Linked DNA regions of Macaca mulatta. The protein of the gene in region 2 purifies or fractionates together with the protein of the main gene of each other region. This does not show direct contact. Links are inferred from orthologs where the notes say so. Each region holds a gene or a part of one and is shown on either strand. Other genes may lie near its edges. The genes, in order: KLC4 and KIF5B.

Region 1 (3,822 bases), on a different chromosome or scaffold from region 2:
TTTTTTGCATTTTTGGTAGAGACAGGGTTTCACCATGTTAGCTAGGATGGTCTCGATCTCCTGACCCTGTGATCCGCCCAACTCGGCCTCCCAAAGTGCTGGGATTATAGGCATGAGCCACTGCGCCCGGCTGATATCCCTACTTAAGGTTGTTTCTCTCTTTCCTTTTATTTATTTGTACTTATTTATTTATTTATTTATTTTGAGAGAAAGTCTCGCCCCATCACCCAGGCTGAAGTGCAGTGGCATGATCTTGGCTCACTGCAACCTCAGCCTCCTAGGTTCAAGCAATTCTCCTGTCTCAGCCTCCCAAGTAGCTGGGACTACAGGTGCATGCTGCCACACCTGGCTAATTTTTGTATTATTAGTAGAGAAAGGGTTTCACCTTGTTGGTCAGGCTGGTTTCAAACTCCTGACCTCAGGTGATCCGACCACCTTGGTCTCCCAAAGTGCCGGAATTACAGGAGTGAGCCACAGCACTGGGCCGCTTTTTATTTTGTTGAGATGGAGTCTTGCTGTGTTGCGCAGGCTGGAGTGCAATGGTGTGATCTTGGCTCACTGTAACCTCCACCCCCCAGATTCAAATGATTCTCCTGCCTCAGCCTCCAAATAGTTGGGATTACAGGCATATGCCACCATGCCCGGCTAATTTTATATATATATTTTTAGTAGAGATGGGGTTTCACCATGTTGGCCAGGCTGGTCTGAAACTCCTGACCTCAGGTGATCCACCTGCCTTGGCCTCCCAAAGTGCTGGAATTACAGGCACGAGCCACTGTGCCCAGTCTCTTTCTCTTACACACAAATAAATCTGGTCTGTCATTTCTTTTTTTTGAGACAGAGTTTCACTCTTGTTGCCCAGGCTGGAGTGCAGTGGCATGATCTCAATCTCGATCTCCCCTCACTGCAACCTCCACCTTCTGGTTTCAAGAGATTCTCCTGCCTCAGCCTCCCGAGTAGCTGGGATTACAAGCGCCCGCCACCACGCCCAGCTAATTTTTGTATTTTTAGTAGACACGGGGTTTCACAATGTCAGGATGGTCTTGAACTCCTGACCTCGTGATTCGCCTGTCTTGGCCTCCCAAAGTGCTGGGATTACAGGCGTGAGCCACCATGCCCAACCCTTGTGATTTCTTATAATACTGTACTTTAATAAAGTGTCCACCTATATTTTCAGTGTTTTTTTAAAGAGACAGGTGCTCACTCTGCTATACAGACTGGAGTGCAGTGGCATGATCATAGCTCACTGTAACCTCAAACTCCTGAACTCAAGCGATCCTTCCACCCTAGACTCCCAAGTAGCTGGGACTACAGGTGCACGCCACGGTGCCCAGTAAATTTTTAAATTTTTGTAGAGACAGGGCCTCGCTATGTTGCCCAGGTTAGTCTCCCATACTTGGCCTCAAGTGATCTCCTGCCTTGGCCTCCCAAAGTGCTGGGATCACATGCATGACATGAGCCACTGAACCCAGCCGCTGTCTCATTTTTCTAGTACTTCTCGTATGGAATGGCTTACTGGTCTTCTAAATCCAGAATCATTCATTATATATCAGACCACTTTGCAATTTTTTTTTTTTTTTTTTTTGAGATGGGGTCTCGCCCCGTTGCCCAGGCTGGAGTGCAATGGCGAGATCTCAGCTCACTGCAACCTTCACCTCCTGGGTGATTCTCCTGCCTCAGCCACCCAAGTAGCTGTGATTTACAGGCATGTGGCACCACACCCGACTAATTTTTGTACTTTTAGTAGAGACTGAGTTTCACCATGTTGGTCAGGCAGGTCTCAAACTCCTGACCCTGTGATCTACCTGCCTCAGCCTCCCAAAGTGTTGGGATTACAGGCGTGAGCCACTGCGCCCAGGCCACTTTGCTATTTCTTTTAACAAAGTTGTACTCAATACAGTTACTGTTGTTTTGTATTTTTATCTTATTATATTACATTGTATATATTGTTCTTATAAATTACTTTTTTTCTTTTATATTTACTAAAGTAGCATATTAACTTTTTTAGAAATCATATATGGATTTACCTATGACTTATCTATGAATTAAGTTCAAGCAAAATACTCGTTATAAAAAGGAGTCACTGAGTCTCAGAGAATTAAGCACTAGGATCACTGGACAGTGCCTGGAAGAAAGGACTTCTTACTCCTCCTTTCTCATCACCCTTAGTGAGTGGACTGAGGGCAGCAGATGGATGAGCTAAGAGAGGCCAAAACAGCAATGGTATGGGGTGTGGGGTGTGGAGTGTGGGGCAGGGAGGGCAAGGAATACTGACAGCAGGATGATCAGGGCCCAGGGTGCTCTCCCGGATGCTGAGGGCATCATTCAGCAGGTGGGCAGCTTCCTTATACTTATTCTGGTCCCTGGAAGAAGACAAAAGTGACAGGAGTTACCCTGAACTCTGCCTGCAAGCCTTCTTCTTCCCTCTTTCCCTTTGGGAGGACTGAGTACATTTAAGGACTGGGGACCTCCATGAGGAGACAGGAAGCCTGGTGTGGACAGTAAGGGGGCTTCACTGACATACCAGAATGCAGGGCACTGCCATCGCAAGAGGAGGCCACAAGTTATAGGAAGTGAGAGGACAGGGGGAAGAGAGGGAGAGAGCACGCCCCAAAAGAGATTAGAGGAACAGTGATCCCAAAGAATGAGCAAATGCTTAGGTATGGGAAAAGTGAGAGTTCTGGCACATTAAGAAGCACCCGAGTGGGGTGTATCTGGGAGGCCCAACAGGCAGGACAGGTACCCTGTAAAGAGGAAAAATGAAAGCCAAAGGAGGACCAAGGTGGGAATGTAGGGGAAGATCTGGGCACTGGAGGAGGGAAGTCCTCACCGATACACCAAAGCAAGGATGTTGAGCATGGTGGCAACATCAGGGTGGCCACGGCCTGATGTGCGCTCCAGGTCCTCCAGTGCCTGCTTACAGAGTGGCACGGCCACCTCATAGCGACCTTGGGCTGCGTACTGGATCACCAGGTTGTGCAACGTCCGCAACCTTGCTGGGATCTCATATCCACCCTGCTGAGCTGCTGCAGTACCTTGACCACGGGACACTAAACCATCACAGAAAATAAACAAAGGACTCTTCCTCTCTCCTTTGCTGTCTGCCCTTCCGTTCCCCATTGCACGTCTTGTTCCATACCTATGCCTGCCCCAACATGGGCTCTCAATATTAGACCTGCCTCAAGCACTATTCTTTTATTCACTCCCTTGACCTGTGCCCATCACAACCTCAGTTATTCACCCAGTAATTCATTCATTCAACAAACATTTATTTAATAAATATGAACCAAGGGATGTCCCAGGAGTACAAAGGTAAGAAAGACCTGGTTCTGGCCAGGTGCAGTGGCTCACACCTGTAATCCCAGCACTTTGGGAGGCCGAGGCAGGTGGATCATGAGGTCAGGAGTTCGAGACCAGCCTGGCCAATATGGTGAAACCCTGTCTCTACTAAAAATACAAAAATTAGCCGGGTGTGGTGGTGGACACCTGTAGTTTCAGCTACTCGGGAGGCTGAGGCAGGAGAATCACTTGAATCCAGGAGGTGGAGGTTGTAGTGAGCCGAGATTGGCCCACTGCACTCTAGCCTGCGAGACAGATTGAGACTGTCTCAAAAAAAAAAAAAAAAAAAAAACAAAAAAAAAAACCTGGTTCTTTCCCTTGAGGGGCTCATGGTCTCCCCATCTCAGGTTTATTCTCCCACTAGACTGTGAACTCCTTACTGGTGAGACCTATGCCATTTCCATCTCAGTACTCCTAGTGCCTAGCACAGTACCTGGCACATACTCAGTGTTTAATACATGTTTGTGGCCGGGCGCGGTGGCT
Region 2 (3,822 bases):
TCTAATTTTTTTTTTTTTTTTTGAGTCTTTCTCTGTCGCCCAGGCTGGAGTGCAATGGCCGGATCTCAGCTCACTGCAAGCTCGGCCTCCCGGGTTCACGCCATTCTCCTGCCTCAGCCTCCCAAGTAGCTGGGACTACAGGTGCCCGCCACCATGCCCCGCTAGTTTTTTGTACTTTTTTAGTAGAGACGGGGTTTCACCGTGTTAGCCAGGATGGTCTCGATCTCTTGACCTCGTGATCCGCCCATCTCGGCCTCCCAAAGTGCTGGGATTACAGGCTTCAGCCACCGCACCCAGCCTAATTTCTTTACTGCTCTTCTTCTTGCCTTCCATTCTTATGTTCTTAATTTGCTATTATTCATACTATTGACTTTACTTCCATATGCAAAGCAGGAAGATAGTATTTCCACTCTATTGTGTTTCCCTTAATCTCCTACATCATCTTTTATTGGAATCTTCAGAGCCCTGATTCTAACAGTTGGTATCACTAAGGCTCCCAATGACCCAATGCCAAGTTTTCATTAGAACAGGGGTCCCCCAGTCCCCAGGCCACAGAGCAGTACTGGAAGCCTGTTAGGACCCGGGACGCACAGCAGGAGGTGTGCAGCAAGCATTGCCACTTAAGCTCCGCCTTCTGACAGAACAGCGGCATTAGAATATCATTAAGAGTGTGAACTCTATTACGAACTGTGCATGCAAGAGATCTAGGTTACAGGTTCCTTATGAGAATCTAATGCCTGATAATCCAAGGTGGAAGTTTCATCCCAAAACCATCTCCCCCACCCTGGTCCATGGAAAAATTGTCTTCCCTGAAACCAGTCCCTGGTGCCAATAAGGCTGGGGACTGCTGCCTTATAAAATTCTTTCAGCTTAAAAAGAGGGGAAAAAAAGATACACCCTCATACAGTTTCCACATAGAAATTATGACTTATTTTGTTAATAATTTTTACAAGATTAACAGAAATCAAGGAATATGTATAAAGATCCTAAGTGCCCACAGCACTAAAATATGAAAAATTAGAAAATAAAAACACTCATGTCAATAGTATCCTAATATAAAACAGACCTAAATCGGGAAATACCTACCTTGTCATCAAGCTGTTTGTATAATTTGGCAATTTCTTCTTCACACTTTCTTCTTTCAGCATCAGTAAAATTTCCCATAACTCCAATTGTGGTTGCTGGTTTATCATTGGTAATAGCAATATCTTTATCTACTGTGAAAGCTTCCAAATTGGCTTTCTCTTTGTCAAACTGTTCATCAATAGGCACCGTCTCCCCTAAAATATGATAAAGTGGTTAATAAGAAACAACATGTCTAAAACTAATTTCAATTTCATTCCTTCAAAAAAATTTTTTTTTTTTTGGAGACGGAGTCTCAATCTGTCACCCTGGCTGGAGTACAGTGGTGCAATCTAGGCTCACTGCAACCTCTGCCTCCAGGGTTCAACCAATTCTATTGCCTCAGACTTCTCATTAGCTGGGATTACAGCTGCCCAGCACCATGCCAGGCTAATTTTGGTCTTTTCAGTTGAGATGGGGTTTCACCATGTTGGCCAGGCTGGTCTCTAACTCCTGACCTCAGGTGACCTGCCCACCTCGGCTTCCCAAAGTGCTGGGATTACAGGCATAAGCCACTGCACTCAGCGTCGTTCTTTTAAACTTTTTATTCTCTGATTGTGTTATTTTCAAATAATCTGTCTTCAAGTTCAGATGCTTTCTTCTGGTCAATTAATTCTACTACTGATGGTCTCTACTGCATTTTGCTCATTTTATTTTTCAGCTCCAGGATTTCTATTAGATTTTAAATAATTATTTCGATGTCTATTAAATTTCTTGATCTAGTCACTTACTGATTTTGCTGAACTATTTCTACGTTTCTATGCTCTAAATCTGTATTTAACAAACTTAAGATGACAAATTCTTAAGTTATTACCATTACGCCATCTGTTGAGTTCATTTTCAAGCCACTGAATGGTGTTCCGCAGGATCTTATTTTTTTCTTTTTCTTTTTCATACTTCTTTTTCCACTGTTCTGCAGTTAATTCCACATTGACACAAACTGTGTTCTTAATTGTTTTGGCCCTAAGAGATGTAATTGGAGGAAAAAAGGGATGAGACTGAAATTATTTTTAATTTTATCTATATGGAATATATGTATATATGGCTAAGAAATTTATTCTTCTCCAATAATCTCTTAGACTAAATACTAAAAGACACAACCTATGAGGTTATTTACAACCCAACTAAATTTGAGTCTGCTCCAAAATCCGTCAATAGCTTAAAAAAAAAAATCACTAAAAATAAAAGACAAAGACCTATATTTTTCCAATTTGTTTGCAAGGCTGAATTAAGAAATTACTGTTGAAAGTCAAAGACGGAATCATCATTACTGATTTTCCTAATCAACTCATATAGATGTTAACCTGTCATGCATGTCTACAGGCCTAACACAGGATTATGTTTGCCAGGCTTTTACAACATTATTTGAGTCAAATGCTTATTTTCTTTAATACCAAATTACAGCTTGTCACATAAATTTGACTAAAATTACATCTGACTTTAATGTGTACTAAAACTTAAACCAAGCAGTATCAAAAACAGGCCCATCTTGTATTATCTGTCATCAATTCAAATTGAGTGTGTCTAGCACAAAACAATATGTACAGGTTGGAATAACAGCTCACATTTTCCTACATTTTATAAACAAAAGGTCTATCTACATTTAGGTTTTGTACTTTCTTAACAACAAACCTTTGGCCAAATAAGAGTGTAGATTTTGTTTCAGATTCATTGTATGATGATGGAGAGCAGCAAATTACAATAGTGGTTCTACAGTTGCCACCTAATGAATCTTGAAGGATTCTTGTCATTTTACTATCTCGATATGGAACATATGTCTGCATACAAAAAGAAAGAAAGAAAACAAGACCAGTGGGTTTCTGTACAATAAAATGTTATAAAAATATGCTACTTTAAATAAATTAAAAGGTTATTTCAGTTAACTATTTGATATTAAAATGTGAACTAGGATATACATACAATATTATAAACTCCCAAAAGACAACTTACACATACTGATTGAAACACAGTGAATCTCTCTCTCTCCCTCTCTAACACCCATGCACACATATACACCTATATTTAAATAATGCCCCGTAAGGTAACAGGGAGATAGAAGACATGTATACTCACACTACCCTCAGCCAAAGCAGAAATGACATTTCCAAGAGCAGAAAGTGACTTGTTGATGTTTTTAGCTTCATCCAGCACAGCACCTTCAGCTCCAGTTTTACTAACCTATACATAAGATTTCAAAAGAACGGAACAAAATTACAAAAATTTTCTTTAAATTTTCTAAAATTTTCAGAGGTCATCAACAACCAGTAAAAAAGAAAAAAGAACATGAAAAGCTTCATGATCTTATTTGCCAAGCATTTACTCTTAGGTACCACCATTTCTTGAGTACTACTCTTAAGAGTTTGATTAGAGAGACATCAAATTTTATCTGTAGTTTGTAGGTACTCTTGAAAATAACCGCTTTAAATGTAAATTTGTAGTTCATTAATCTTAGTCCCCTTTGCTACATTAGAAAAGAGGAAACTTCTAAAACTGGCTAATGCATAATGTTGATGTTGTAACTATTAGAAAACAGAGACTGAGTTTAAACTCATTATATAAGCAAACCTGCTTCTTCTAAAAAAAAATAAAATAAAATAAAGTATCTAAATATCTATGTTGTGTGGCTTTTTTTTTTTTTTTCTGAGACTGAGTCTCACTCTGTCACCCAGGCTGGAGTACAGTGGCTCAATTCCGGCTTAC

Evidence for each region.
Region 1: the proteins of KIF5B (region 2) and KLC4 purify together in Homo sapiens (affinity purification with mass spectrometry; 4 studies listed by BioGRID and IntAct, with this or other methods). This does not show direct contact. The link is inferred for Macaca mulatta from reciprocal best matches to the Homo sapiens genes KIF5B and KLC4.

Annotation. Positions count from the first base shown.
Region 1 is NC_133409.1:139,060,118-139,063,939, forward strand, and holds part of KLC4 (kinesin light chain 4), read right to left. Parts: intron 3,051-3,822; coding exon 2,831-3,050; intron 2,364-2,830; coding exon 2,276-2,363; intron 1-2,275.
Region 2 is NC_133414.1:33,394,524-33,398,345, forward strand, and holds part of KIF5B (kinesin-1 heavy chain), read right to left. Parts: intron 3,301-3,822; coding exon 3,196-3,300; intron 2,901-3,195; coding exon 2,755-2,900; intron 2,086-2,754; coding exon 1,937-2,085; intron 1,281-1,936; coding exon 1,087-1,280; intron 1-1,086. UniProt on the Homo sapiens protein: Microtubule-dependent motor required for normal distribution of mitochondria and lysosomes. Can induce formation of neurite-like membrane protrusions in non-neuronal cells in a ZFYVE27-dependent manner.